Linked DNA regions of Macaca mulatta. The protein of the gene in region 7 binds, or shares a complex with, the protein of the main gene of each other region. Links are inferred from orthologs where the notes say so. Each region holds a gene or a part of one and is shown on either strand. Other genes may lie near its edges. The genes, in order: LIN9, RBL1, RBL2, E2F2, E2F6, E2F4 and TFDP2.

Region 1 (3,710 bases), on a different chromosome or scaffold from region 7:
AAAACATGAATTAGCCCAATGTGGTGACACATGCCTGCAGTCCCAGCTACTTGGGACTTTCAGGTGGGAGGATGGCTTGAGCCCAGGAGGTCAAGGCTGTAGTGAGCAATGTTTGCACCACTGCACTTCAGCCTAAGTGACGGAGAGAGACCCTGTCTCAAAAGAACAAACAAAACCAAAACACACACACACATGCACAAAATTGGTTTAACATGACTTTATACTATGTTTTAATGCCTGTTAAGATATTATCACATATTTTTTTTTTAAGATTTTTTTCCTTTTTTTTTTTTTGACACGGAGTCTCACTCTGTCGCCCAGGCTGGAGTGCAGTGGTGTAATCTCTGCTCATTGCAACCTCCGCCTCCCAGGTTCAAGCTGTTCTTCTGCCTCAGCCTCCCGAGTAGCTGGGACTACAGGCACAGCCACCACGCCTGGCTAATTTTTGTATTTTTGGTAGAGATAGGGTTTCACTGTATTGGCCAGGCTGTCTCAAACTCCTGACCTTGTGATTCACCTGCCTTGGCCTCCCAAAGTACTGGGATTACAGGTGTGAGCCACCGCACCTGGCCTAAGATTTTTTCCTAAATATTTTTGTGCATTTATTTTTCCATGTAGACTTTAGAATCAACTTGACTAGGGAAAAAAATGGCCTGTTGGCATTTTGACTGGGGTTGGACTAATATTATAAATTAATTTATGAGAAATGACATATCTATAGGTAACATTGAGACTACCTAAGAACTGATTGTAGTTGCACTTAGTTCTTAGTATTCCACAGACTTTAACATTTTTTTCCATATCAGTCTTGCATGTTTCTTAAGTATATTTCTACATATTTAATATTTTTTGTTTATGTCAATTTTTTTCGCTATGATAAACAGGATATAAACTCTAATGACCTGTCCAGTTATTATTTATATATAGAAAAGATAGTGATTTTTTTGAATTGTGGTTTTTGTATATCAACTTTGTATTTACCCATTTCATTAAATTTTCTTACTGTTTTTAATTGTTACAGTGGATTTTCTTGTGTTTTCAGCTACAAGAAAATGGTAGTTTTATCTTCTTTCTAAATTTTATTATTCTTACCTGATTGGCCAACTCCTTCAAAACAGTGTTATGAAATAGCAGTCGTAGTTGAAATCTTTGTCATACTAGGTTAGTGGTGGTAGTTGAAATATTTGTCATTCTGATTGTCTTTTAATATTATGATACTGGTTTTTGGGTTGGAGTGGAGAGAAATGTTTTACTAGATTAAAAAAGTATCCATCTAAGCCGGGCGCTGTGGCTCACACCTGTAATCCAGCACTTTGGGAAGCTGAGGCAGGCAGATTACCTGAGATCAGGAGTTCGAGACCAGCCTGGCCAACATGGTGAAACCCGGTCTCTACTAAAAATACAAAAATTAGCTGGGTGTGGTGGTGCACGCCTGTAGTCCCAGCTACTCGGGAGACTGAGGCAGAATTGCATGAACCCGGGAGGCAGAGGTGCAGTGAGCCAAGATTATGCCACTGCACTACAGCCTGGACGACAGAGCAAGACTCTGTCTCAAAAAAACAAAACAAAACAGCAATAATCAAAAATAATCAGAGTGTTTAAAACAGCAACAAAAATTCCATGTTGAATATTGGTGAATCTTTTTGAGTACTTAAACATAATTTACCTTTTGCAAATTTTTTCAGGGTTATAAATGTTCATTTTTACTTAATGGAGCTATAAATTAATCTCTCTCTCTCTTTTTTTTTTATTGTATAGAAATTTACAGCAACAATGTCAACACCAGATAAGAAAGCTTCACAGAAGATTGGTTTTCGATTACGTAATCTGCTCAAGCTTCCTAAAGCACATAAATGGTGTATATACGAGTGGTTCTATTCAAATATAGATAAGTATGTATCATGGCTTATATTATGAATATTACTTGAATCGTAAATTTAAGTTTTTCAAGTGTTTTAAACTACAACATTTTCTATAGGTCTATTTTGATCTTATTTTTCCCTGAATTCATTTTTCTATTCCACATTCCAGTTGGATTTATTCTGTTTGTTATAGTTTTCTTCCCCATTATCCTTGTTGGGGAAGAAAACTATACATTTTTGTGAAGAATTGATTAGAGTATAATTTCTGTGTTATAATTTTTAAAGACTATGGAGTAGAGATACCTTAAAACACCATTATTTGCAATGAATGAGATTCATTTTATAATTGAGATGTTAAGTGTTGGTATAATCATAGAGAAACCATTACTAATGGTAAAAATGGCTTAAGATTTTTAGGAGGGTAGTCTTTCTAGTTTGGATATGGTACTTAAGCACATTAGGTATACACATATGCTTAAGTATAACATAGTATGAGATTTGACTGAAATACAGTTATTCAACAATGGAATTTACTGAGGAAAAGTTCTTATTTATAATCCTTCCTCATATGCCAGTCATTGCTGCTTGCTCTGCTGGATATTTATGTTTACTTCCCTTCTCTGTTTTCTATACCAGTTGCCTACTCTGGAGCTTGTGAATCTCATGAATGTTCATATGTGAGCCCAAGGCATTGATGTATCATTGCCAACACTGGTTCCTGGTTTCCCAGACTCATGAATAGAATTGTTTTATTTTTGTCCATAGGCTTAAGAGAGTTTTCAGGGTGTCTCAGTGTGATCTGAGTTCTTCTGGGATTCCCCCAAGCTAATCTAACCCTCTAGAGTCCTCCAGTGTCCCAAGACTGGTTTAATTCAAGAGAGGACTCCTTGGTGATGGTATTCCTTTGGGACAAAGATACTTTGTAGCTGCCTTGGTTTATCTTCACCTGATATAAGGCCAGGGCCAGGATAGCCTCCCAAAGGATATATCTGTATAAGAAATTGAACAAAAATCAGTGTCTTTTAGAATCACAACACAAATAATATTTCTTGAACAACTTTTACACATTAGATGTTTCACAAATGCCAAGGATTTAGTTTTAGCACTTTGAATTTGTGCCAGTTTTTATGTATATGGGGTAGAAATGAAAGTTTAGCATTTTGTGATTTTATGTGTTTTAAGAAAGTAACACATTGTATGTAACCATTAAAATACGATTTCTGTTTTACAGACCGCTTTTTGAAGGTGATAATGACTTCTGTGTATGTCTAAAGGAATCTTTTCCTAATTTGAAAACAAGAAAGTTAACCAGAGTAGAATGGGGAAAAATTAGGCGGCTTATGGGAAAACCACGGAGGTAAAAATAATGTTTTTGTTTTTGTTTAAAATAAATTCAAGCTAGGAGCAGTGCATGTACTTATAATCCCAGTTACTTGGAAGGCTAAGATGGGGTATTTGCTTAAGGCCAGGGGTTCAGGGCTGTAGTATGCTGTGATTACACCTGTGAATAGTCACTACACTCCAGCCTGGGCAACACAGTGAGAACCTTCCTCTAAAAAGAATTAAAAAATAAAATCAGTAAAAGTTGTTAGTATCATTACTACATTGATTTTTTTTAATCTTTGAAATGACTAGTACCAAAACATAACTTTTCAGAATAATTATGTATTAAATATATCCTGTTAACCAACTTTAATGTAGGTGCTGTTTATGCTTATGTATCTTATAATTAAATGCACAATTTCATTTTTGTTAGGATCACAGGTTTTGAACATAATTTTTTTGTTTTACGTTACCTATGTCCCTCTGTGTTCCAAAAAATACTTGAGTGTCCTAAAAAGTATTTAA
Region 2 (4,184 bases), on a different chromosome or scaffold from region 7:
GCACTGCTGGGGGACCCAGCGCAACTTCCGCAGCTGCTGGCCCGGGTGCTAAGCCCCTCACTGCCCTGGGCCGGCGGCGCCAGCTGGCCGCTCCGTGTGCGGGGCCCGCCGATCCCCAGCCCGCGCCCGCTGGAACTTACACTGGCCCGCGAGCCCCGGGCGCAGCCCCGGTTCCCACCCGCACCTCTCCCTCCACACCTCCCTGCAAGCAGAGGGAGGCGGCTCCGGCCTCAGCCAGCCCAGAGAGGGGCTCCCACGGTGCCATGGCGGGCTGAAGGGCTCCTCAGGCGCCGCCAGAGTGGACGCTGAGGCCGAGGAGGCGCTGAGAGTGAGGGCTGCTAGCACATTGTCACCTCTCACAACCATTCAGAGGCTGGAGTGAAGTTACAAAGTTGCAAATGAAGACTGGAAGGCGCTCAGTGTGGTTTCTTGTGGATGGTCAATTTCCCATCTGCCATGCATGAAAGGTCCAAGGGAATAACCTCTGGTTCTTTTGTTACTTAGGCGTGGAAAGTTGGGGTTTTCCTTTCAATTTAGTTCTAGGAAGTCACGTGAAACAGCCATAGGTTCCCTGCCTCCAGACCCTATTCTCCTGCCTCATTACTGCAGTCTTCTCTGCCCGCGTCTTTTAGCGACTAACATAAGATGAGGATCCAACTTCTAATATCCCTCACCAGTCCTTCCCCTCCGTCATTTAGCGAACCGCTCACTGGGCACTGGGACTTTGGGGAGAGTCCCAGGAGGCCCCTCTTCGTCCAGGGGCTATTTTTTTTCTCTTCCAGCCTCCATCTCCTAACTCAAGGGGTACAGCTCAGTCAGATTATGTTTGGCGCCCCGGGACAGTGACAAACCCAGGGCCCGTGGATAGAGGAGGCATCTCACTACGCTGCACGAGGCCACCTCGCAGTAGGCAGCCCAGGCCTGCCCAAAAACCCAGGAGCCTAACCAGGAAGACAGGGGGAGGCCGCGGGCTTCATCTCCCAGGAGATGGACTACATCTCCCAGCAGGCTCTGCGCGCAGGCTGAGGATCCCTCCGCTCTTTTTTTTGTCCCGCCGGCTCGGCCCCCCGCGACCAGCCAAGGGCTAAGGCCAGGTATTTCAGAATCTGAGGTCCGTATTCTTATCACATTTCTGGGGAGGGACGGCTAGGAGCTCCGGAGGAAAAACGGACTTTTTTTTGAGGAGAAAAGCGGAGGCAGACGGTACAGACGAAGCACCCCCGCAACTGCAAGTTTTCGCGCGCTTTGGCGCAGGTGGTTGTGGGTAGCGCGCCTGGGAGGGAGAAAGAAGTCGGGGGCCGTGGCGCGCCGCCCGCGGGGCCTGAAGGGATGTTCGAGGACGAGTCCCACGCTGAGGGGGTGGCGGTGGTCGCCGCAGCCGGGGAGGCGCTACAGGCCCTGTGCCAGGAGCTGAACCTGGACGAGGGGAGCGCGGCCGAAGCCCTGGACGACTTTACTGCCATCCGAGGCAACTACAGCCTAGAGGTGAGCGGCAGCAGGTAGGGCGGCCGGACCCTACCCTCGCCAGGCCCCACCCCTGCCCCGCCCCTTCCCCGGCCTATGGGGTGGTGGGAGTTTCCCCATCTAGGAGGGTCGCTGCGCAGCCAGGCGCCGAGGGGCGGGAAGGGTGGATGTTGCTCAACCAATCCGCCCATCATTTTGAGGCGGGAAACTGAAGCCCAGGAAAGGAGCGGCCTAGGCCCTGCGCCACTCAAACCCCGGTCTTCCTGACCACACTTTACCCCGCTAAGCGCCACAAACGTCATGGTGGTGCCCTTAAATCGGTAAGAACAAATATAATGGTAAAGTGAAAATGAACTGCCTACCGAGACACCACTGGCCAGAGCTTTAAATGGACCCTCTCAGTTCCGTCTGAACCCCTTCTGTGATCCCCGTTCCACGCAAGAGGAAGCGGAACCCCAGACAGGTTAAGCTACAGGCCCAAGGTCACGCGGTTAGAGATGGAGCCAGACCCAGGGTCTGAGCCGTTTAACCTCCACCCTCTGCTTCATCAGGGTGGAGCTGCTGGTTGCTGTGCAGCGGTTTGATCAAAGCCAGTGTGCATACGAAGCTGATCTCAGCCCTGCGTTTCCTCCTCTGTCAGAGCATCGTCCTGATGCTTTGCATCAGCGTCTAGCTCTGAATAAAACAAATGTCAGTTATAATTACTCGATTTTTTTCCCCATCATTCTTGCATTTTATCTTCATAACAGCCCTGTGAACGTGGCATGGCAATGAGTATTAGACCTGCTTTCCAGGTGATAATGGCAAGGCTCAGAAGGTTGTCTTGCCCAGGGTTATTCTAATACAGAAACCCAGGCTGGGCGTGGTGGCTCACGCCTGTAATCCCAGCACTTTGGGAGGCCAAGGCGGGCGGATCATTTGAGGCCAGGAGTTTGAGACCAACCTGGGCAACATGGCGAAACCCCGTCTCTACTAAAAACTACAAAAATTAGCTGGGTGTGTTGGCGCCTGCCTGTAATCCCAGCTACTTGGAAGGCTGAGGCAGGAGAATTGCTTGAACCCAGGAGGCATAAGCTGCAGTGAGCAGAGATCACACCACTGCACTCCAGCCTGGGCGACAGAGCAAGACTCTATCTAAAGAGAGCAAGATGAGTATAAGCCTGATGGAGTGTATTTCATGTAGCACTCCACTGGCCCCATGTTCAAAGGCTTTCATGTGCCAAGGGCGCTGGACCAACTCCCAGGGTGCACCACTGACTCACCACCCAGTGAAATAATTGCTGGGTTCAAAGGCATAGAGTTGGATGTATATTGACTGTGTGCCTATATATGAAGGAAAAGTACCTGAAAAAGTCTTCCAGACTGGATAGACTGGGTAAAGGACAATGGTCCACATCCGTGGGTGGCATGACTGGAAAGCTGTGAGAAGAATAAGAAAGTAAGGGAGATTAGCCAGAGACGGTGGCTCATGCTTGTAATCCCAGCTCTTTGGGAGGCCAAGGCGGGCAGATCACGAGGTCAGGAGATTGAGACCATCCTGGCTAACACAGTGAAACCCCATCTCTACTGAAAATACAAAGAATTAGCCGGGCATGGTGGCGGGCACCTGTAGTCCCAGCTACTCCTGTCTCCTGAGACAGGAGAATGGCCTGAACCCGGGAGGCGGGGCTTGCAGTGAGCCGAGATGGCACGACTGCACTCCAGCCTGGGCCACAGAGTGAGACTCTGTCTCAAAAAAAAAAAAAAAAAGAAAAAAAAAAAAAGACAGATTAGAATGAATGGCCTCTCAATTGAAAACAGATTGATTTTTGAAAGCCTGAAAAAGCATTTCTGACATCCTAGTCTCATTTGGTCTCTCTTGCCCAAGGTCACACCATCTGTCATTGAATAAGTATTTACTGTGTCAAAACGGTCAAGGCGTGCACCTGTTTCAGATTCTTGAATATGACAAGCTTTTTCCCAGTTTTGTGGTATATCCGTGCCGTTCCCTCTGCCTGGAATCTTTCCCATCACCCCCAACACCAGGAAAGGTTGAGAGCTAAATCTCTAATTAGGCAGAGTTGAATAGGACAACTTCAATGTTTGCTTTATTTATTTATTTATTGTTTTTTTTTTTTCTTTCTTTCTTTTTTTCTTCCTTAGAAACAGGGTCTTGGCTGGGCACACGGTGGCTCACGTCTGTAATCGCAGCACTTTGGGAGGCCGAAGTGGGCAGATCTTCTTAGGTCCAAGACCAGCCTGGCCAGCATGGTGAAACCCCGTCTCTACTAAAAATGTAAAATTAGCCGGGCATGGTGACATGCGCCTGTAATTCCAGCTACTGGGGAGGCTGAGGCAGGAGAATCACTTGAACCTGGGAGGTAGAGGTTGCAGTGAGACGAGATTGCGCCATTGCACTCCACCCTGCACAACAAGAGTAAAACTCCGTCACAAAAAAAAAAAAAAAGAAAGAAAGAAAAGAAAAGAAACAGAGTCTTGCTCTTTTGACCAGGCCTGGAATGCAGTGGTGCAATTGTAGCTCACTGTAAACTCAAACTCCTAGGCTCAAGTGATCTTCCTGCTTCAGCCTCCCCAGTAGCTGGGACTACAGGCATACGCCACCGTGCTCAGCTAATTTTTCAATTTTTTATGGAGATAGTATCTGACTATGTTGCCCAAGCTGGTCTTGAACTGGCCTCAAGTGATTCTTGTGCTGCAGCCTCCCAGAGCATTGGGATTAC
Region 3 (3,710 bases), on a different chromosome or scaffold from region 7:
TGTTTCCAACCCTAAAATTCCACCCTCAAGAAAAGCAAAAAAACAACAAATCCTGGGTTTTGCTGCATGGGAACTGACTGATCACTGCTCCCTGGTAGCTCTCATCACTCTAATGAGTGCCTAGGCTTAGCACAAACCCTCTTTCTAGCATCTGAAGCATTTTGGGGTTAGTAAAGGCCAAGATTGATGTTAGGCTCACCTTTGAAGGACTGTTGCTGAAGTAATAGAAAATCTTTTCTCGAGGAGAAAGCATTGTTTCATTTTTATGTGGGGAAATGTAGACAGGATGATTTTGAGACAACTGTATTCGGCGAGGGGAGCCTGTTCTTACAAATGGATAGGGAGAGAGTGGAGGAGCATCCATCTGTTAAAAAAAAAAAATCAGTAACTCTAAGAAATTTATAATGAGGTATTTTTACTGAGAATGATAAGAGTGATATATTAGCACTAATTTAACCTAAAGAAAAACATTCTAATAGCAAACCTTAAGTGCTTAGTTTGTGCCAGTTATTATTTTAAGCAATTTTTATACATTATGTCATTTCATCCTTACAACTCCATATGCTAAGAACTAGTTATATTCCCATGTTTTATATATATGAGGAAACAAGGTACAGAGAAAATTTAATGATTTGCAAGGTTACCACTACTGTTACGTACTAGACAATTTGAACCCATGTAGCCTGTCTCTTGTACTACTATACTTTGTAGGGACTCCAAATACAATCTTATTCTTGTTTAATGCTTAACAACAGAACTTATGTTGGTTAGGTAAATTACAGACCTCCTCAGTTTTACTTAATAGAATTATTTGTAAAACTAGCTTATTTATTTATGAGACAGAGTCTCGTTCTGTCGCCCAGGCTGGAGTGCAGTGGCGCAATCTCAGCTCACTGCAACCTCTACCTCCCATGTTCAAACAATTCTCCTGCCTTAGCCCCCAGAGTAGCTGGGATTACACATGTGTTCTACCACGCCTGGCTCATTTTTGTATTTTTAGTGGAGACTGGGTTTTATTTACCACGTTGGCCAGGCTGGTCTCGAACTTCTGACCTCCACTGATCTGCCCGCTTCAGCCTCCCAAAGTGCTGGGATTACAGGTGTTAGCCACCACGCTTGGCCAAAACTAGTTTATATATGGACCAGGTGAATGGTCCATATATAAATCATAAATAATTCCTCAATACTCATGAAAAAAGCATGAAATGATCCCTGTAATACTTACTACATTTGCCTGGGAGTACTTCATGGCAAATGTCTTAATCTGTTTGATGTAGATGTTGTTGTAGAACTGAATGAGGTCTCCCCTCTCTTCTTCTTCCATGTCACTGTTGGCACCTGTGAGGCGAGTAGGTGTAGGAGGAGCACTGCTGGGCTGTGGAACTGGCAAGGTGCTGCTTGACCTCATGACTGGACTGGAGTCTCTACTGGCTGCTTCCAGGAGAACACAGGGTGTCAATACAAAAGCTGCTAGTATAGATTGTTTTAATTTTTAAAAAGTAGGAGAAAGGGAACAGCTACCTGCATTACTTGCTAATAACAGTGAATAGGCATTCTGTTCTTCACACCAAAAGGCAAAGCTCAGCTAGGATTTTAACTTGATATCCCTATGCCATAACCATAGCAAGGGCTTTCTGAGTAGTATTAATAAGCTACACCAAGTTTTCTAGGACCTAAGCCCTAGGACAAACCAACAGGTAGGGGATGGTATTTCCATAGCATGGCTCCAACTGACATGTCAGTCCTTTCTGAAACTCAGGCAAGCAGATTCCTCACTGAAAGCTCTAATTCTCCTGGAGAAAAATGTTATAGAATATGTGCCCCAAAGCTATGGAATGGACAGTTTTGCCACCCAGAATTTGGTTTACTGATCCATTAAACCCTTTGTTTATACACTTTCATAGTTTCTATAGTTATTTCATTTAGTAATGGTTACTTCAAGTCCTAAAAAGTAAGAAAAGCTCCTAATTTTGTCTTGTAGTTCACAAAGATCCCACTTACTTCTATCTTTGTTTAGTTCTGTTGGAGAATTCTGATGGCTTCTGCTATCACTGCTGCCGGAATTTCGTCTTTTTCTTTTCCCTTTTATCAAAACACTTCTATACACCTTTAGAGAAATAATGAGAAGGGGATGTAAACTAGTATTTGTTGAGCACACCCTTGGTGATAGGACCTTGACATATGTTACTTTTCACAATAATCTGTGTAGCAATAGTTGTCCTCAGAAGAGGTTAAGAAACATAACTCAAATTATAACAGATCTAAGATTCAATCAGAGCCCATCTAGCTTCACATGCCAAGTACTACTTGCAGTACCACGCTGCGGTAACAGCACCCAACCATAAAGTCAAGTCATTCTAAGTCAGATACACAGATCTGCCAATTTGCCTCTCAGAGACGAATCGTAATAAAGGCAAAGTGGGTTTTAAATTTCCATGTGACATTCTCTTGGTTAAACGTACAGTATGTTTACTAAACCAGAATGGTGACATAGAAACCAAGTAACTTCTTAATTCCAATCTATCTTGTGATTTTTCTGAATTGAGAAGGCAATCAAATATTTAACATTGTTGCCTTCTGAGGAAAAGAGAACTTAATCAACATGTGACATCAAGAATAAAGAAGATTAAAGCAGAAATTTCCCTTAAGTAGAGTCCCAGGTGTTTATCTTGGAAAAAAAGGCCACAGAGTCAACTATGGTTAATTTTTTGTATTCATCACAGACTTTAAGCGTTATTTTCAGCTCATAGAGAAAATGTAGTTACCTGGCTCCGGGCCTGTGGCTGAGTCCTATAACAACGCATAATATTCTGGAAGGACTTATCTTCTTTTGTGACCTGGCAAACAATAAGAGTGCTCTGAGAGATACAACAACTTCCACCATAATAGTGTGAGGAGCTGTGTGAACCTGCTGCCCAGTAAAAGGGGTGAAAATTATATAAAAGCTATTTAAAGTCTCTGGAAATGGTATTAAAGGCATATAGCAAATGAAGATACATCGATTCAAGAATATCTATTAAAATTCATTAAGAATAATATGTGAATCAAGACTTAGAGGCCGCTGCGGTGGTTCACACCTGTAATTCCAGCACTTTGGGAGGCCGAGGAGGGTGGCTCACTTGAAGTCAGGAGTTCAGCCTGGCCATCATGGTGAAACCCAGTATCTACTAAAAATTCAAAAATTAGCCAGGCATGGTGGCATGTGCCTGTAATCCCAGCTACTAGGGAGGCTGAGACAGGAGAATCACTTGAACCCGAGAGACGGAGGTTGCAGTGAGCTGAGATTGAGCCACTGTACAGTCTGGGCAACAGAGCAAGACTCATCTCAAAAAAAAAGACTTGGAGTAGAAAATTACAGTAACTGAAATGAAAAATTCACTAGAAGCTAGGGAAAATAGATTTGAAGTAGCAAAAAAACCAAAAAGATTAGCAAACGTGAAGAGATGGTGTGATCTGAGAACAGAGAAAGAATGAAGAAAAATAAACAGCCTCAGAGAAATGTGGCACAGCATTAAGGAAATCAACATAAGTGTAATGGGAGAATCAGGAGAGGAGAGAAAGAAGCAGAAAAAAATGTTCAAAGAAATACTGAAAACTTCCCAAATTTATTAAATTACATCTCCAGGACATTCAGTAACTTGCAAGTAGGATAAACTCATCTATAACCAGATATATCACAGTAAAAATGCTCAAAGCCGAAGAAAGAGAAA
Region 4 (4,227 bases), on a different chromosome or scaffold from region 7:
GGCCTGCCCACGGGGCTGGGCCCCGGGCATCTGGGGATGACAGGAGTGGGAACTCTGGGCCTGGCAGGCATTTAGGGTGGTCTGCTGCAAGGAGACTCTCCTGCTTCTTTGCTTGTGACCCAGGCAAGTGACTTCCTTTCTTTGCTCAGTTTCCTTATCTGCAAGATGCCTCATTCTGAACATCTTGACCAAGATAATGAACGTGAAGAGTGCCAAGCAGTGTCTGGCACACGAGAGGCACTCAGTAAAAAAGAGACCTTCTTGCTAAGATCACTGAGCCCCTCTGGGAGGGAGGTACAGACAAGATGCACTTGGGCTCCTCTGGGAGGGTTCAAAGCAGTGGAAAACCACAGCTGTTACTGAAAATTCCAGTGTGAAAGCAGCTGGCCAGAGGAGAGTGGGCCTGCTGCAAAGTTCCCTTCCCCGGGGGGTACTCAGCTCCTAAGTCAGGCAGTAATAAAGAAAGTCAAGGCTACATAGAGAAGAGCCTACTGCCTGACCAGGTGCAGTAGCTCATGCCTGTAATCCCAGCACTTTGGGAGGCCGAGGCAAGAGGATCGCTTGAGCCCAAGAGTTTGAGACCAGCCTGGGGAACATAGGGAGACCCCTGTCTCTGCAAAAAATAAAACAGAGAAGAGCCTACTGCCTTGTGAGTCCCATCACTCTATCCCATCCCCATCTCTGACCTTAGGTCACATCCCCTCTCTGAGCCTGTTTTCCCCCTGTAACATGGAGCTACTAATGCCATCTATTTCACAAACTACAAAGATGTTTTGGGCTATAAAACGCTGACCACAAGATCACCAATCCCAGTTATCCTCGGTTGCTTAACCTGTAATATGGGGACAATACCATTCCTGCCCACTGCCCTCCTAGTTAGAAATCATGTGCAGGAAGGGTCTCCGGGAAGGTTAACGTTTTGAACATGGGCAAAGCCTGAGTCCACTGGCAGGGAGTAGTGGCTCTGCCTGCATCCAGAGCTGGCTGGGCATCCGTGCCTGCTGACTAGCACAGGTCTGACCAGATGCCTCTGGGGCAGTGGGGGGTGGTCTTATCCCTGTACTGAACTTATTCACCACACCCACAACTAAGCAAACCTATAACACCCCAATCCTCTCCCTGGAGCCGGCTTCCAAAACCCAGGACCTGGAGTCGAATGTGGCAGAGAAGAGCTAGCCCCACAGCCACCCTGTGCACACACGCATTGTCAAGGAGAGGACACTGAGGCCCAGACTGGGGCCAAGACTTGTCCAAGGACACACAGAAAATTAATGGCAGTCACACCAGAAACCAGGCTCCTCAACCACCACCACCCCCACTTCCCCGGGCTTTTCCCATTCCACCCCCCACCCTAAAGTTGTTTTGATTCACATGGGCTCCAGGAATTCCACTCCCACAAAACACACCCTGAGCCCAGGTCGGCAGGCAGCCTGGTGCCACTACACTTTGGGCCATCTCTGGCAACGAGCCTGGGAGCTTAAGGAGAGAGCAGCCAATCTGAACAGAACCCAGGGGGCTGCCCACATTTCTATCTGCTACAGGCTGCCTGGGAGGGAAGATTGGGCCTTGGGGAGGACCAAGGGCAGATACTTGGGGCTATACCAGGAGTTGGCTGGACAATTTGGAGTCTGTCCATGGCAGATTGAACCTGAGAGACTCACTAGACCTATCCCTCTGTCTTACCAAAGTCCCACAGTGTCCCCAGGCATGCTCTTTGCCTGGACAATAGCAGGCACCCAGTGCTGGTTTCTGGCCAAACAATGAAGTAATGAATGAATGGCGGCAACTTTGGCTGCATGGGCTTCCCCAAGGTCACACAGTGCACTGGGAGTAGTGGGTTGGGTCTCCCTCCAGACTCGCAATCCAGTGCTCATTCCACTCCACTAGAATGGATGAGATTACTTCATCCAAAGTCTGAAAATGAAGGGGTCTTCTACTCAGATATTGGGGGCACTGGGTCCTGGAAACTGAAAGCTCATCTTCCCTCTTCCCAAAACTCTACCTGCTCCACTCAAACTGGATCTCAGGCACCCCTCCCTCCTTTCCCACACCTGGAAAAGCATAGGGGGAAGCGGTGGGGGCCCCAGCATTACCGGCAGCCGGCCTGCCGGCAGGCATCGAACAACTTGGCCCTCGGGTCCGTGGGGAGTGGCATCGAGGCAGGTGCCGGGCGCCACTGCGGGAGGCGCCGTCTGCGGGTACAGCGGCGTGTAGTAGGTGGTAGTAGCTGGGCAGAGCTGGGGGCTGCTGAGGCCGGATGGCCACAGCTCTGTGGGGCTCATCGCGGGCACCACCTTCGGGGGCTGCCCAGCGGCCGAAACCAAGGCCCGGGGCCCTTGCAGCATAGCGAGTAAGGCGCCCCCTACCCAAACGGGCCTGGCGCGCCCGCCGACACCTGCGGGTTCCGGTGCTGCAGCCGCTCACACGGCCCGCGGCATGGCGCGGAGGCCGGGGGAAGCCACCAATGGACGTCTGCGGGGCAAGGCCGGACCCTCCCCTCCTGGCCCGCAGCCGAGCAGAGCAGCGCTTGGAGATCGCCACTTGGAGATCGACCGGCGGTTGCGGTGGTGGCACTGCCAGGGGCTGTCCCGCCCCGAGGGCACCGCGACCCGGGACGCCCCGCGCCCCCCAAGGCCTCGGCACCTGGGGTCCGGCCGGCTCTGGGGAGGAGTCCCCGGCGTGCCCGCGAGCTCCGTGGAGACGCGATGCGCTGGGACGGGGAAGGGGGTCTCGACTGCACCGACTTCCTTGCGGCCCGCTCTCTAGTCCCTGAGTCTTTCTCTGCCTCTTTTTTTTTCTTTTTTCTTTTTTTTTTTTTTTTTTTAAGCGCCAAACGGCGTGCCGCGAAATTCGGATCTCCCGCGGAAAATGCCGCGCTCCCGTTGGCTGCTGCAAGAGTACAGGCTCCACCCCCCGGAAAGAACCAGTCCTCGAGGCGGCGATTGCAACACGAGCTTCGCTGCTTAAAGGGGCAGCCACACCTGCTGTCGGTGCCGCCCGCCGCTGGACGCACTAGCTAGCAGCCGGCGAGACGGAGACAGGGTGGTTCTGGGATGCACAGTGCAGAGGCGGCCAGAACAGAGCACAGCGCCCCGAGAAATGGGCCCGGATTCCCTGGGGTTGAAGGGAAACATTTTGGCGCCGGGTCCCGACCTGAGCCCAGACTCAGCAGTGTATTCCCCAGGCCACAGGCCCTTTTGTTAGTTTGCATTGTTGCTTAGCTAGCACATGTGCATTCATATCCCCTTTCCTGCTAAAATGAAGGCCAGGAACTTGTTCCCTTTAATGGCAGAGGGGTGAGGGATGGAGGCAAACTAGTCTACTTCTTTATAGGGAAAACTAACATCTATTCAGCGCCTGCAGGATGCCAAGCACCATGCTAGATCCTTACAAGGGTTGTTTTAATTTATTCCAACAATCCTGGGAAGAGGAATGATGATCCCCATGATAAAGACTGACAGTCTGAAAGGCTGGGTAACTTGCCCAAGGTCATACAGAGAGATTCCCTGATTTGAGAGCTGGCAATGGAATCTGGGACAGGTCCCAGCTCTGGAGCCCTTGTTTTTCCAGTTAAGGGGTTCTTCTACCCTCCCAAGCTGCCTGCCGGCACAGCAGGGTCAGAGGCCCACTGCAGAGCTTTGTCTTATTCACAGTTGTATTCTTAGGACCCAACACTCAGTAAATGTTTGAACATCTCCAGGTTTCTTTTAAACAATCCTTTTGTCACAAGAGCCTCCCTGCCTCATTCAAAAATCTTCATTGCTGATAATATATTCCTCACCACTCCAGTTTAGAGAGACTCAGAGAAGCAACCTTTGGTAGTGAGTGGTAAAGCTGCTAGAAGCTGCTGCTACATTCCAGGTCTGATTCTTGCCTGGTGCTGTGTGATTTTTATGCAAGTCTGAGCCTTGGCATTCAAAACCCTCCAGAGACAGTCCACAGCTTATTTCCTCATTAGATGGTTGAGGACAAGGTGGCAATAACCCATGATGATTAAGAGCCCAGGCTGTGTGGCCAACAGCCCTGAGTTCAAACCCAGGCCCAGACACTTTATTCGTTGTGTGACCTAGGCAAATTTTGTAAATTCTCTGATCCTTGATCCTTGATTTTCTCATCCTAATAGCACTTACCTCATAGGATCATGAGGAAATCTCCTGAGATAATGCATATAAAGCTTTCAGCACAGAACCTGGATCATAAGGAGGCTCAAGAATTGGCAGATGTTGT
Region 5 (4,219 bases), on a different chromosome or scaffold from region 7:
TAACTGGGAGACCACTTGAGACCAGGAGTTTGATGCTACAGTGAATTATGACCATGCCACTGCCCTCCAGCCTGGGTAATGGGGAAAAAAAAAGATTAGAGACCTCTGACATCATAGTCTAGTGGGGAGCCAGCTTCTTCAGGGATTTCTCCCTACCTCACCTCGCCCACCTCAGGCTGTGTAGAAACCCCCAGTCTAACCGGTTGTTTCCCTCCAACTCTGTACACACCACGGTGTGTTACCTTTTTATTTCAAACATGTGCTGGCCTCTGTTCTAATCACAGCAACCTGTATCCATTAATCCATTTAATCCTCACAACAACCTTATCAGGTAAGTATTGTCATTATTCGCATTTTCCAAATAAGGAAACTGAGGCACAGGCAGATTAAGTAACTGGCTTAATAAGGTCTTCTGGTTTATAAGTAGGAGCCAGGATTTGAAAACACACCTCTGGCTCCAGCTTAATTAACATGCTCTGTTTACTTATCTGTCCCCACTGAAATTGGAGGTTGAACCTGTGGCATATCCAAATGAGTAAGTATCGCCTGTGCTCACCCCAATATCTGACACTATAGGTCCACGATAACTCATTCATCAAACAGGAAGGAGGGAGGAAGGAAGGAAGGAAGGAAGGCAGGAAGGAAGGAAGGCAGGAAGGAAGGAAAGAAGGCAGGCAGGCAGAAGTAAAACGATACCACAATGGTTTGGTTGCTCACATTTACTAAGCATCAACACTGACCCGCCTGTAAGATGTGCTAACAGAGCTCAGGAATAAATGAAGGCCGGGCGTGGTAGCTCATGCCTATAATCCCAGCACTTGGGAGGCCAAGGTGGGAGGATGGCTTGAGCCCCAGAGTTCAAGACCAGTCGGTGCAATATACTGAGACTCTGCCTCTACTAAAATTAAAATTAAAAATTAGCCGGGCGCAGTGGCGCGCGCCTGTAGTCCCAGCTACTTGGGAGGCTGAGGTGGGAGGATCGCTTGAGCCTAAGAATTCGAGGCTGCAGTGAGCCCTGACCACGCCACTGCACTCCAGCCTGGGCGACAAAAAAAAAAAAAATTAAAATTAAAAAAAGGAATAAATGAACATCTTTGCGGCTGAGAGCTTTCAGTTATCACCGTCGAGAATTCCAGGCGAGCGCTGCGTTTTCCCAGCTGCCTGTTTTCTCTCACCCCCGTTCCCTTCCTCTGGAATCCGGCTCCACCTCTTCCTTTTCCTTTGCCAGCCTCTCCGTGGATTCCGCGGTCCGGGTTTCCCGGGCGCCAGCCGCCGGGAGAGGATCAGTGCGTGGGAGCGCTCCGGCCGCGGCGGGCATGCGCAGAGGGGGGCGGTACACTGCGCATGCGGAAAAATGGCGGGCCGGGCTACTTGAGAGCCGCGGGTTTACCTCCTCCTTTCCCGTCTTCGTCGGGAGTTCCCGGGCACGTGAGGCAGTGCCGCGTTTGCTGGCGGGTGGGACGGCCTAGCCGGGCGGGGCCTTGGAGGACGCCGCGGATCCGTCAGTTTCTGGGCCCTTGGAAATCGGCGCGTGGGGGGCGGTGATCGAGCTGCGCGCGAGAGGGCGGGAGAGCTCGCGGGGTGCGAGGGGAGCGGGACGCCCGGCCGGGCAGCATGAGTCAGCAGCGGCCGGCGAGGAAGTTGCCCAGTCTCCTCCTGGACCCCGCGGAGGAGACGGTTCGCCGTCGGTGCCGAGACCCCATCAACGTGGAGGGACTGCTGGTAAGCTCCGGGACGGGAGGGGGACGGGCGGGGGTCTCCCAAAGCTGGCCCCCTCCTCCCCGCGCCGCCGCCAACCCCGCTGGCCGTCGTCTCGGTCGTCTGCTCCCCCTGGGCCAGGCGCTGCCCATCACGTGCTGCGAAACTGCGCTCTCCCGCCTTCTGCTTTCAGCATCTGTTCACAGACGTGGTGTCAGTCTTCTGGACTTTTACATCGGAACTTCAGGGCACTGTTGGAGAAAATTGCTCAACTTTGCATTGGAAAGGCCATGTTTTTCTCCTTCAGTGGACTCTAGCTGTATCTCTGCAACCTATCATTTGTTCTTCTACCTTCTCTCTCTTCTGCTCTACTGCAGCCGTTTAAAACCTTGTCCACGCTTTATATTTACCACGCCACAGCTCCCATTCATAAAATTATCTCCCCACCTGTTTGACGGAGAAAATGGTTAGGAGATTTGGCTCCCTTTCCCACAAAGACTGATTTCTTCTACTCTTGTTCTGGACCAGATACTGTATTCCCCGGTTCTCAAGGTCCTTAACAAATGCGTTCTTTTCCATTCCTCCCGTATTTTCTTTTTCTTTTTTTGAGATGGAGTTTTTACTCTTGTTCCCCAGGCTGGAGTGCAATGGCACGATCTCAGCTCACTGCAACCGCCGCCTCCCAGGTTCAAGCGATTCTTCTGCTTCAGCCTCCCATGTAGCTGGGATCACAGTCATGCGCCACCACACCCAGCTAATTTTGTATTTATAGTAGAGACGGGATTTCACCGTGTTGGCCAAGCTGGTCTCGAACTCCTGACGACCTCAGGTGATCCACCCGCCTCGGCCTCCCAAAGTGATGGGATTACAAGGCGTGAGCCACCGAGCCCGGCCTCTCCCCATATTTTCAATTTCTCTGCTGCTTTCTTCCTATAACTAGTAGTAATTAAACATTTTCCCAAGTCATTATGCCTGGTCCCCATACCAAATAGTTTGTGATTATTGTCTCATTTAATTTCTCACAGCAGTGTTTTATAATAGTAAAAGACTATTATTCTTGTTTTACGGTTGCCAAAACAGACCTGGAGATGCATGTAATGCCGGCTTGCCTGTGGCTAGATAGTAAGTGGAGAAACTTGGGTTGAACCTCCAAATGTCTAACTCCAGATGATAAATTCTTGACTACTAAAACCACATTCTCAATCCATCCCCATCTTAAAAGATCCCTCCCTTAATTCCATATCCCTTGCCATCTACTGTCTCTCTTCCCCTTCACAGCTAAACTTCTTGAAAAAGTTATTTACACTCACTCTTTCCACTTGATCGTCTCATTATCAGCCAACCCACTGCTGGGGACCCCTATCCTCAGCACACTTGTGAGACCATTCTAACCAGGGTCACCGACAATCTCGTCAATTCCAGCAGCTGTTGTAGTTTTGACACAAAACTACTTGTGTTGGAAACTCTCCCTTGAGTTTCCTTGACATTGATGTTCCATCTGCTTCTCTGGGCTCTCCTTGTCCTCATCCTCTTCCCAGTCCTTCATTTTTTTTTCCCCCGAGACAGGATCTCACTCTGTCACCCTGGCTGGAGTGCAGTGGCACATCCTGGCTCACTGCAGCCTTGACCTCCCAGGCTCAAGTGATTCTTCTGCCTCCACCTCTCTAGTAGCTGGGACCACAGGCACATGCCACAAGGCCTGGCTAATTTTTTTATTTTTAGATATGGAAGTCTTCCTGCGTGGCCCAGGCTGGTCTTGAACTCCTGGGCTCAAGCTGTCCTCTCACCTCAGTTTCCCAAAGTGCTGGGATTACAGGTGTGAGCCACCGTGGCTGGCCACATGTTGATGATATTCAGGGTTCTCTTCTGCTGTCTCTACACATTCTTCTTAGGGGAGTTCATTCTCTCCTCCCATGACTTATGTTACCGTCTACATTTGATCCTTGAACGACTCAGGGTTTGGGGCACCAAATCACATGAAATTCAAAATCTGAATATAACTTTGATTCCCCCAAAACTTTACTGTTTCCTGGAAGCCTTACTGATACTGTAAACAGTTGATTAACACATATTTTGTATTTACATGTATTAGTTAGTGTATTCTTATAATAAAGTAGCTAAAGAAAACGTTATTAAGAAAATCATAAATAAGAGAAAGTCCTACTCATTCAGGGGAATTAGATGATCGTAAAGGTCTTCATCCTTGTCTTCACACTGAGTAGGCTGATGAAGAGGAGTAAGAGGAGGAGTTGGTTTTGCTCTCTAAGTTGTGGCAGGGGGTAAAGAAAATTGGCATCTAAGTGGACCCACACAGTTCAAACCTGTGTTGTTTGAGGATCAGCTGTATATTGGTACCATCTGTATTGGTCGTCTTAATATTTGAGAATTTGATAAAAACTCTAAGCTCACTGTGGAAAAACCACTTAGTTTGCATGCAATATCAGCAGATACATCGCTTGAAATCTTAGACATACATTTCTGGTATTTTCAGTTACCATATCGTAATTCCCAAATCTATAAA
Region 6 (4,373 bases), on a different chromosome or scaffold from region 7:
GGTAATAATTTAGTGGATGTTCAGTCCACCACCCAAATCCACCCTTCAGGACAGAAGTGCTCATTCTCCAGCTGCCAGGAGTGTAGGCTGCTGAGATCAATATTGGGGTGCAAAAGCATGGTACCATCACGTGAACATAAACTCTTCAGAAGTGCTACCCCAATTTCAGAGATCCTAGTGGCATAGGCTGAGGCCTATAATATAATTGCATCTGCCCGATTCTGCTTGTCTTACTCCCTTAAAGGTGTGGATCCTGACCAGGTGTGATGGCTCACGCTGTCATCCCAGCATTGGGATGAGGTCTGAGGATCGCTTGAGCCTATGAGTTCGAGACTAGCCTGGACAATATAGTGAGACTCTCATCTCTACAAAAACTAAAAATAAATGAGCCAGGCATGGTGTGTGCATGCCTGTGGTCCCAGCTACTTGGGAGGCTGAGGTGGGAGAATCGCTTGGGCCCAGGAAGCTGAGATGGCATTGATCTTGCCACTGCACTCCAGCCTGGGCAACAGAGTGAGATCCTGTCTCAAAAAAAAAAAAAAAAAAAAGAAGTGTGGATCCCCAACAAACTTGCTGCAAAACCCTGTCTCGAGTCCCATTTCCCATAGAACCTGACCTAAAAGAAACAATAATAAATAGTAACAATGTTACAAGTAACAAAATGACCCTAGCAAACTTTCCTACATGCCAGAAATGACTCTGAGTGCTTTACTGATATATACACATAGGTAAATACGTTTGCATTGGCTGAAGTGTATATAACCCCATAGTCTCTGAGCACTGTAGCGGGAGGACAAGATGAGCGAAAGATGAGGCTAGGACCATGGATGGAGAGAGGTGGACAAGGTAGATATAGTTAGTGCTTGCTGTTTGGCAGGAAGTGAGGGACAGGAATAGATGGGGTGACCCCAAGACAGTAGGGGAACCTTTAGGAACATTTTTGATGTGGCAGTAAAATGAGTTTGAAATATAAAAGAATAAATAAAGAGAAAAAAATTTAAAAGGAACTGATTTGAGGGAACAGATTGGATTAGTCAGGTAGTGTGGTCTTGTCTCCCGAGATGGGGACTGGGCAGAGTTAGTGATGTTGGGGCAGATTGGCAAGGAAAGTTCCGATGGCATCCCTTTCTCTACTGCCAGGGCTGCCCACTGACGCCCTCCTCATTCCTCCCTAACTTCATCCCAACTCCCGGTCTACCCAGGTAGTTTTCGTCTTATTCGGCGGCTGGACATTTGCTAATGGTCCCTGAAGTTTTGCGGTTGCACCCACAGACAGCAATAGCGCCGCGTTCCCTGGAAGACGCACGGGGCGGAAGCGGAAGCAGCAACGCTGGCTCCGGCTGCCGGACGGCCAGGAACGGAAGCGGAAGTGGCGGCGGCGCCGGCCTGGCCTGGCCTGGCTGAGGGGAGGCGGCGGGCGGACGCGATGGCGGAGGCCGGGCCGCAGGCGCCGCCGCCCCCGGGCACTCCAAGCCGGCACGAAAAGAGCCTGGGACTACTCACCACCAAGTTCGTGTCTCTTCTGCAGGAGGCCAAGGACGGCGTGCTTGACCTCAAGCTGGTGCGGCCCGGGCTAAGGGGCGACAAGGGAGGATGGTGGACCAGGCCTGGGCCGGTAGCGGGAACCCCGGGGGCGGCCCAGCTGGGTCCTCCGAGAGCCGGCCGCCATCGTGTGCTTTCTCACAGGAGAGAAGCCGGGGAATGTTTCATTCATTCGGCCGAGGCCATTGAGCTACAGCTATGGGCCAGGCTCGGGGCTCCAGGTGTTCGTCCTCGTGGCCCTTCCTGGCTGGCGAGGAGAAGAGCTGCCTATGGGACAGAGCTGCGGGCCTGAGCTGCAGTAGCGCCTGGCAGGCACTACAGGGTTGGAATCCAGGTTACTCCCTTCCCAGACCACGTCTCAGGGTGGCTGGGGGTACACCCGAGAGTGGGGCTGAGCATTCTCCACTCTGTCTGCCAGGCAGCTGACACCCTAGCTGTACGCCAGAAGCGGCGGATTTACGACATTACCAATGTTTTGGAAGGTATCGGGCTGATCGAGAAAAAGTCCAAGAACAGCATCCAGTGGAAGTGAGTGGGGATAGTGGGAGGGTAGTAGAGTCTCCCACCCAGAAGTGTCGGGGGTGGGGTGGAGGGTGCCAAAGAAGGCAGGGGCCGTGGGACCCAGAGTTCTCAGCAGTCCCTCTCAGCCCCACTCCCTGGGCTCAGGGGTGTGGGGCCTGGCTGCAATACCCGGGAGATTGCCGACAAGCTGATTGAGCTCAAGGCAGAGATCGAGGAGCTGCAGCAGCGGGAGCAAGAACTAGACCAGCACAAGGTGTGGGTGCAGCAGAGCATCCGGAACGTCACAGAGGACGTGCAGAACAGCTGATATCCTCCTGGCGTTCCCTCCTGGGGGGAGTGGGCAAGGGGCCCTCTGGTTCAACTTGCCCTGGGCAAGCTCCCTGTTCCTCTTGGGAGCTTGTCCTGTGGCCCCTGGCCATGGCCCAGCCTCAGGCTCCCTCCTCAGAGCCTCTCCCCTTCCAGTCTTAGCCTGTGATCCCTCCCCCAGTGGACCTGAGTCCCCAGAACTTTCTCTGAGGGGCCTCTGTGTCAGACCTTGGCTAAAGAATTGGGTCTTTTTTGTAGTCTGCCATCTGTCACCATAGGGCATCGGCCATTCTCCTTAACCCTCACACTTTGGCCTACGTCACTCATGAGGACATCTGCAGATGCTTTGCTGGTGAGCAGAGCCTGGGTAGGGGTGAGGGGGTGGGCTGGGCTCAACCAAATCCCTGAGCACTGGGTTCAGTGTCTCAGGAGAGTTCCGTCTCTTAAGAGGGTTTCTGGGGCCTGCTCAGAGAGGAACCAGGCAGGGTAAGTCTTCTGTCTGAGTGTCACTGGGACCCTGTGGAGGTCAGCTATACCAAGAGGGTACAGGAATTCTGGAGTGGGTTCCTGGGTCTGTTCCCAACTGTACTGTTTCCTGGATTTGGCTTCTTGAGTATGATAGAGGTACAAGGGGGAGAAAGGGAGAGAGGATATGTGTGTATTTGCTTGTGTGCAGGCTCTTACATGCAGGGCATGGGGGTGCCCACCTCCAACTTGTTAGTTTAATTGCATTGTGAATGCAGGATATGTTCCTTTTTTTTCTTTCCTTTTTTTTTTTTTTTAAAAAGAGACAGGGTCTTGCTATGTTGCCAGGCTGGTCTTGAACTCCTGAGCTCAAGCTGTCTTCCCCGCTCAACCCCCTAAAGTGCTGGGATTATAAGTGTGAGCCACTGTGCCCCGCTGATGTGTTTCTTCTCCATCATGTATCCTCCTGACTGGTCATGGGAAAGGGATGTTGGCCTTGGCTAGAATACCTTCACCTAGGGAACAGCCATCGGTGGAAGAGTGAGGTGCCTGTGGCCAGTGATATTTGACTCCACATACTTGAACCCAGATTTCCTGGTTACTGACTCTGGGCTCTCAGGAAGAGAAGAGCTTTAGCTCTGCCCAGCCACTATGGGGAATGGGTGAGGTCCACTGTCTAGTCCCTCAGAGACCATGATCTCCTGCCTTGCTCCAAAAGACAGGCACCTCTGTTCCCAGCTCAGATTGAGCCCATGGGCTCTGACCCATTCTCCATGTCATTCTAGGAGATACCCTCTTGGCCATCCGGGCCCCATCAGGCACCAGCCTGGAGGTGCCCATCCCAGAGGTGGGTGCTTAGCCCAGGCAGGCGGGGTCAGCTGAGGGCGGGTGCTGGCTGTGGAGACTGATAAGTCCCGGGTGGGGCAGGTAGGGGAGGCCTGGAGTTTGGGGTTATCTAGGAGGATGGGCATCCTGGGTGGGAGAGGACACTGGTCCTGACAGAGTCGGGCAGGAGCCAAGCCTGCTTCCAATTCTACCCATCTCCCATCCCTTACCACCCATCTCTAGGGTCTCAATGGGCAGAAGAAGTACCAGATTCACCTGAAGAGTGTGAGTGGTCCCATTGAGGTTCTGCTGGTGAACAAGGAGGCATGGAGCTCACCCCCTGTGGCTGTGCCTGTGCCACCACCTGAAGATCTGCTCCAGAACCCACCTGCTGTTTCCACGCCTCCACCTCTGCCGAAGCCTGCCCTAGCCCAGTCCCAATCCCAGGAAGCCTCACGTCCAAATAGTCCTCAGCTCACTCCCACTCCTGTCCCCGGCAGCGCAGAAGTCCAGGGAATGGCTGGCCCAGCAGCTGAGATCACAGGTGAGGCACCATGGGAGCTTGTGACAGAGGCCCAAGAGGCAGTATCTCTGTGTTGTGAAACACCACACTCAGAGTTGGAAGAGACCCTTCAAGATGGGGATTGTCTTTTTCCTGACCTCCACCTAGCCTTCCCTTGCTGTGGTAATGAATGAGCCTTTTTTTTTTTAAA
Region 7 (3,710 bases):
ATCTTATTTACAATTTCAGTTTAGCTGACTCTTCAATGAGGACAGCTGATCATACAGATATCTCACACATCATGGTAGGCTGGGCGTAGTGGCTCACGCCTGTAATCCCAGCACTTTGGGAGGCCAAGGTGGGAGAATCACTTGAGATCAGGAGTTTGAGACCAGCCTGGCCAACATGGCGAAACCCCGTCTCTACAAAAAATACAAAAGCCGTGTGTAGTGGCGCGCGCCTATAGTCCCAGCTAATTGGGAGGCTGAGACACAAGAATTGCTTGAACTCGGGAGGTGGAGGTTGCAGTGAGCCGAGATCACGCCACTGCACTCCAGCCTGGGCAACAAAGCAAGACCCTGTCTCAAAAAAAAAAAAAAAAAAAAAAAGAAACATGCTTATTGGACAAATTTTCCAGCTTCAAACCACTGCTTTTTTTTTCTCAATCTGATAACTACTTAAAGAAAACAGACTTAGGGTCTGAACTTCCTTGCAGTTGAGTTCCTCACTGTCTCCTTGGGCAAAAGCCAAAGACATCTATTAAGAAAATTTATGGCCGGGAGTGGTGGCTCACGCCTGTAATCCCAGTACTTTGGGAGGCCAAGGTGGGCGGATCACGAGGTCAGGAGTTCGAGAGCAGCCTGGCCAAGAGACCAGCCTGGCCCATAAAGTGAAACTTTGTCTCTACTAAAAAAAAAAAAAAAAAAAAAAAAAAATTAGCCAGGCATAGTGGCAGGCACCAGTAATCCCATCTACTTGGGAGGCTGAGGCAGGAGAATTGCTTGAACCTGGGAGGTGGAGGTTGCAGGAGCTGACAAAGATCGTGCCATTGAACTCCAGCCTGGGTGACAGAGCAAAACTCCAACTCAAAACAAAAAAAAAAAAAAGAAAGAAAATTTACAGGAGCCCATTGGTTTGGACTGAGCTCCTGCACTAGGCCCCAACAGACCAAACTAAAATGGAGTCACTCATGCTGAAGTTCCATGCCACCAGGCCAAAACTAAGTTGTTTATCTGACCTAGGAAATCAGGAGAGAAAGACAGAATAGTAAACTACCCAAACAGGCCAGTTGCAGCTGGCATAAGAGAGTCTTCTCTGTTTTACCCTTACAAGGAAAGTGACATTGAAATGTCCAGTCTGCTTTTTCATCTGTTTCTGCCTCTATCTGCCTTTGCTGCTTCTCTATCTTTAAAACACTGAATAATGTTCAACCTCTTCTGCTCAGCTTATAGGAACACTCATTCTACTTACTAGTGAGGTATTGCCAGATTCTAGAATCACAAATAAAAGACAATTAAGATCTTTAAATTTGTTACAATTTTGTCTTTCGATCATCAAATAAGACATTTTTCTTTTCTGCTTCAGCAGATTATCTCTTACTTGCTCCGCATCCAGTCTAGTTTATACTAGGGAGTTTCCATTCATGATTCCTCTATCCACCACGTTTTACTTTTAAATTACTTAAGATTCACGTAAAATCTGTGTGGCGTTCTACATTGGAAAAGATGTTGTAGGAGCATCCCTTTATCAGAAGCTCTGACAAGCAAGGCCCCTTATCTGTCCCTCATCCAACTAGGTCAAGCCACACCGATTCTACCTCTATAACACCTCTCCAATCTCATGGCCACTGCTGTTAACTCAGACCATCTCTAATCCCCCTCCTCCATTCCATTTCCTTCCCTACCTGTTAATTTTACTTCCAACCCACTGGCAGAGTGATCCTTCAAAAAACATCCTATCAACCCTTCTCTTTGTAATTTATCAACTGCTTCCCTTTGTTTACAGGATCAGGTCCCCACTGCTTAACACTTAGATATCTATCCATCTTTCTAAATGCCTGTTCCCTAGCCACACCCAGCTCCAGGCAAGCTTTCTCACGCCTGTCTCAGCCCATGCAGCGCCTCTGCCTGGAAGGCCCTCCCCACCCGTATCCACTTGGCAAACTACTCCCACCTCATGCCTGAGCTCTGGGATTATCTCCTTGGTAAAGCCCTCCCCCATCCCTCTTTGCAGAGAATCTGTACATTTCTTTCATAGGAGTAATCACATTTTTGGTTAACTCTTTTACATTTCTCTTCTCCCCAGTTAGAATGACAGTTCCTTGGGTTCAGAGATTTGCCTTGTATAACCTGTGATTAAGCACAAGGTAGATGTGAATAGGTTTTTTTGCTTAGTAAGTCTTTAGTATAAGCTCAATATTACTCATGAAAATGATGCTCAAATTCCACTCTATCAGAAGGAAGAAAAACGAGAAAAGGAGGATATTTCCACTGTAGCATATGAAAAATATTATATAGCTTCTGATGAATATCTGGTTTCTCTCTCCATCCATAAGTATAATAATACCAAATAACTGAATTGCTGGGGAGAAAAAAGACTGAGAAAAACAGAAAACCAATCTTAATTATCTCCCAAAGCTATATGTATATACACACACACACACATATATATATATACATTTTTTTAAAGATGGAGTCTTGCTCTTATCGCCTAGACTGGAGTGCAATGGCATCATCTTGGTTCACTGTAACCTCTGCCTCCCGGGTTCAAAGGATTCTCCTGCCTCAGCCTTCCCAGTGGCTGGGATCACAGGCGTCCGCCACTGGCTAATTTTTGTATTTTTAGTAGAGATGGGGTTTCACCATTTTGGCCAGGCTGCTTGAACTCCTGACCTCAGGTGATCCACCCACCTTGGCCTCCCAAAGTGCTGGGATTATAGGCGTGAGCCACTGCGCCTGGCCCCAAAGCCGTATTTAACCTCAGTTTATTCCATTTATGGTCATGGTAGTAAAATTATGTCATGTCAATTTAGAAACAGTATGTCAGGGAACATGCTCATGTAGAAAGAATTTTCTATAATGCTTAAAGTTAACAGAACTTAAAATGCTTCTGCATACATAATTCCAAAATTCTATTCATTCTGGTAAAGACACAAACGAAACACTATTCATTCTGTTGCTATTATTTCTAAAGTCAAATGCAAAAGTCTGACTTTCACAGCTATATTCAGAATATTGTGTAACCAATAAAGGAAATCAACAGCCAGCTTGATCCTTTTTTTTTTTTTTTGGATACATACAGCAAGCATCTTATCAAATAAGATACCATTTCACCAAAAGTTTATTAGTAGAGTGCTCAGAATTAACTTAGAATGAAATAAAAATCTTCTCTAAGAAACAGTAAAATCAAACTGTTATTTAACTTTTATATCCCTCAGTTTCATCATTTACAAATTAAACTGTAGACTATACCTATAAGGCACCTTCCAATTCTAAAATTCTACAGTCTGTTAAAAAATGACATAGTATACATGAAAAATTGGAAATATTTTATATTACAATTACATTTTTAAATTAAAATGCCTCTGATGTAAAATAATACAAAAAGCTATTCATAAACAGATTTTCTCACTTACCTCCAGATTCTGACATTCCTGAGCAGAATTGGTAGGCAGGCCAATCCACTTGATTTCTTTTTTTTCCTTTGAAATTATGTTCATTGCCATTAGCACATTTAAAGCATCATAAACTCTTCGCCTAATGTTTTTCTGATCGTAAGCCTGCTAAAAAACATTTTCATTGAGTGATAATTAAGGGTTAAGATACAGTCACATGATATTAATATGTCAAATTAATATTATGTCTTCAAAGTGCTGGAAGGATTCTATTTTTTTATTTAGCAAACTGACAAAGACATCCAAAAGAATTCTATATTCCGTGAA

Evidence for each region.
Region 1: TFDP2 (region 7) and LIN9 share a complex: the UniProt entries of both Homo sapiens proteins name them as parts of the DREAM complex. The link is inferred for Macaca mulatta from reciprocal best matches to the Homo sapiens genes TFDP2 and LIN9.
Region 2: TFDP2 (region 7) and RBL1 share a complex: the UniProt entries of both Homo sapiens proteins name them as parts of the DREAM complex. The link is inferred for Macaca mulatta from reciprocal best matches to the Homo sapiens genes TFDP2 and RBL1.
Region 3: TFDP2 (region 7) and RBL2 share a complex: the UniProt entries of both Homo sapiens proteins name them as parts of the DREAM complex. The link is inferred for Macaca mulatta from reciprocal best matches to the Homo sapiens genes TFDP2 and RBL2.
Region 4: TFDP2 (region 7) and E2F2 share a complex: the UniProt entries of both Homo sapiens proteins name them as parts of the DRTF1/E2F transcription factor complex. The link is inferred for Macaca mulatta from reciprocal best matches to the Homo sapiens genes TFDP2 and E2F2.
Region 5: TFDP2 (region 7) and E2F6 share a complex: the UniProt entries of both Homo sapiens proteins name them as parts of the DRTF1/E2F transcription factor complex. The link is inferred for Macaca mulatta from reciprocal best matches to the Homo sapiens genes TFDP2 and E2F6.
Region 6: TFDP2 (region 7) and E2F4 share a complex: the UniProt entries of both Homo sapiens proteins name them as parts of the DRTF1/E2F transcription factor complex. The link is inferred for Macaca mulatta from reciprocal best matches to the Homo sapiens genes TFDP2 and E2F4.

Annotation. Positions count from the first base shown.
Region 1 is NC_133406.1:84,044,460-84,048,169, reverse strand, and holds part of LIN9 (protein lin-9 homolog), read left to right. Parts: intron 1-1,758; coding exon 1,759-1,892; intron 1,893-3,093; coding exon 3,094-3,219; intron 3,220-3,710. UniProt on the Homo sapiens protein: Acts as a tumor suppressor. Inhibits DNA synthesis. Its ability to inhibit oncogenic transformation is mediated through its association with RB1. Plays a role in the expression of genes required for the G1/S transition.
Region 2 is NC_133415.1:89,949,282-89,953,465, reverse strand, and holds the start of RBL1 (retinoblastoma-like protein 1), read left to right. Parts: upstream 1-1,257; 5' UTR 1,258-1,329; coding exon 1,330-1,485; exon of another isoform or gene 1,486-1,499; intron 1,500-4,184. UniProt on the Homo sapiens protein: Key regulator of entry into cell division. Directly involved in heterochromatin formation by maintaining overall chromatin structure and, in particular, that of constitutive heterochromatin by stabilizing histone methylation.
Region 3 is NC_133425.1:48,962,328-48,966,037, reverse strand, and holds part of RBL2 (retinoblastoma-like protein 2), read right to left. Parts: intron 2,838-3,710; coding exon 2,766-2,837; intron 2,108-2,765; coding exon 2,002-2,107; intron 1,435-2,001; coding exon 1,226-1,434; intron 365-1,225; coding exon 200-364; intron 1-199. UniProt on the Homo sapiens protein: Key regulator of entry into cell division. Directly involved in heterochromatin formation by maintaining overall chromatin structure and, in particular, that of constitutive heterochromatin by stabilizing histone methylation.
Region 4 is NC_133406.1:217,472,036-217,476,262, reverse strand, and holds the start of E2F2 (transcription factor E2F2), read right to left. Parts: upstream 2,818-4,227; 5' UTR 2,346-2,817; coding exon 2,094-2,345; intron 1-2,093. UniProt on the Homo sapiens protein: Transcription activator that binds DNA cooperatively with DP proteins through the E2 recognition site, 5'-TTTC[CG]CGC-3' found in the promoter region of a number of genes whose products are involved in cell cycle regulation or in DNA replication.
Region 5 is NC_133418.1:113,370,541-113,374,759, forward strand, and holds the start of E2F6 (transcription factor E2F6), read left to right. Parts: upstream 1-1,356; 5' UTR 1,357-1,614; coding exon 1,615-1,722; intron 1,723-4,219. UniProt on the Homo sapiens protein: Inhibitor of E2F-dependent transcription. Binds DNA cooperatively with DP proteins through the E2 recognition site, 5'-TTTC[CG]CGC-3'. Has a preference for the 5'-TTTCCCGC-3' E2F recognition site.
Region 6 is NC_133425.1:62,733,967-62,738,339, forward strand, and holds the start of E2F4 (transcription factor E2F4), read left to right. Parts: upstream 1-1,385; 5' UTR 1,386-1,426; coding exon 1,427-1,561; intron 1,562-1,686; exon of another isoform or gene 1,687-1,740; coding exon of another isoform or gene 1,741-1,876; intron 1,877-1,960; coding exon 1,961-2,070; intron 2,071-2,208; coding exon 2,209-2,370; intron 2,371-2,678; coding exon 2,679-2,722; intron 2,723-3,620; coding exon 3,621-3,682; intron 3,683-3,903; coding exon 3,904-4,204; intron 4,205-4,373. UniProt on the Homo sapiens protein: Transcription activator that binds DNA cooperatively with DP proteins through the E2 recognition site, 5'-TTTC[CG]CGC-3' found in the promoter region of a number of genes whose products are involved in cell cycle regulation or in DNA replication.
Region 7 is NC_133407.1:44,949,126-44,952,835, forward strand, and holds part of TFDP2 (transcription factor Dp-2), read right to left. Parts: intron 3,552-3,710; coding exon of another isoform or gene 3,549-3,551; coding exon 3,405-3,548; intron 1-3,404. UniProt on the Homo sapiens protein: Can stimulate E2F-dependent transcription.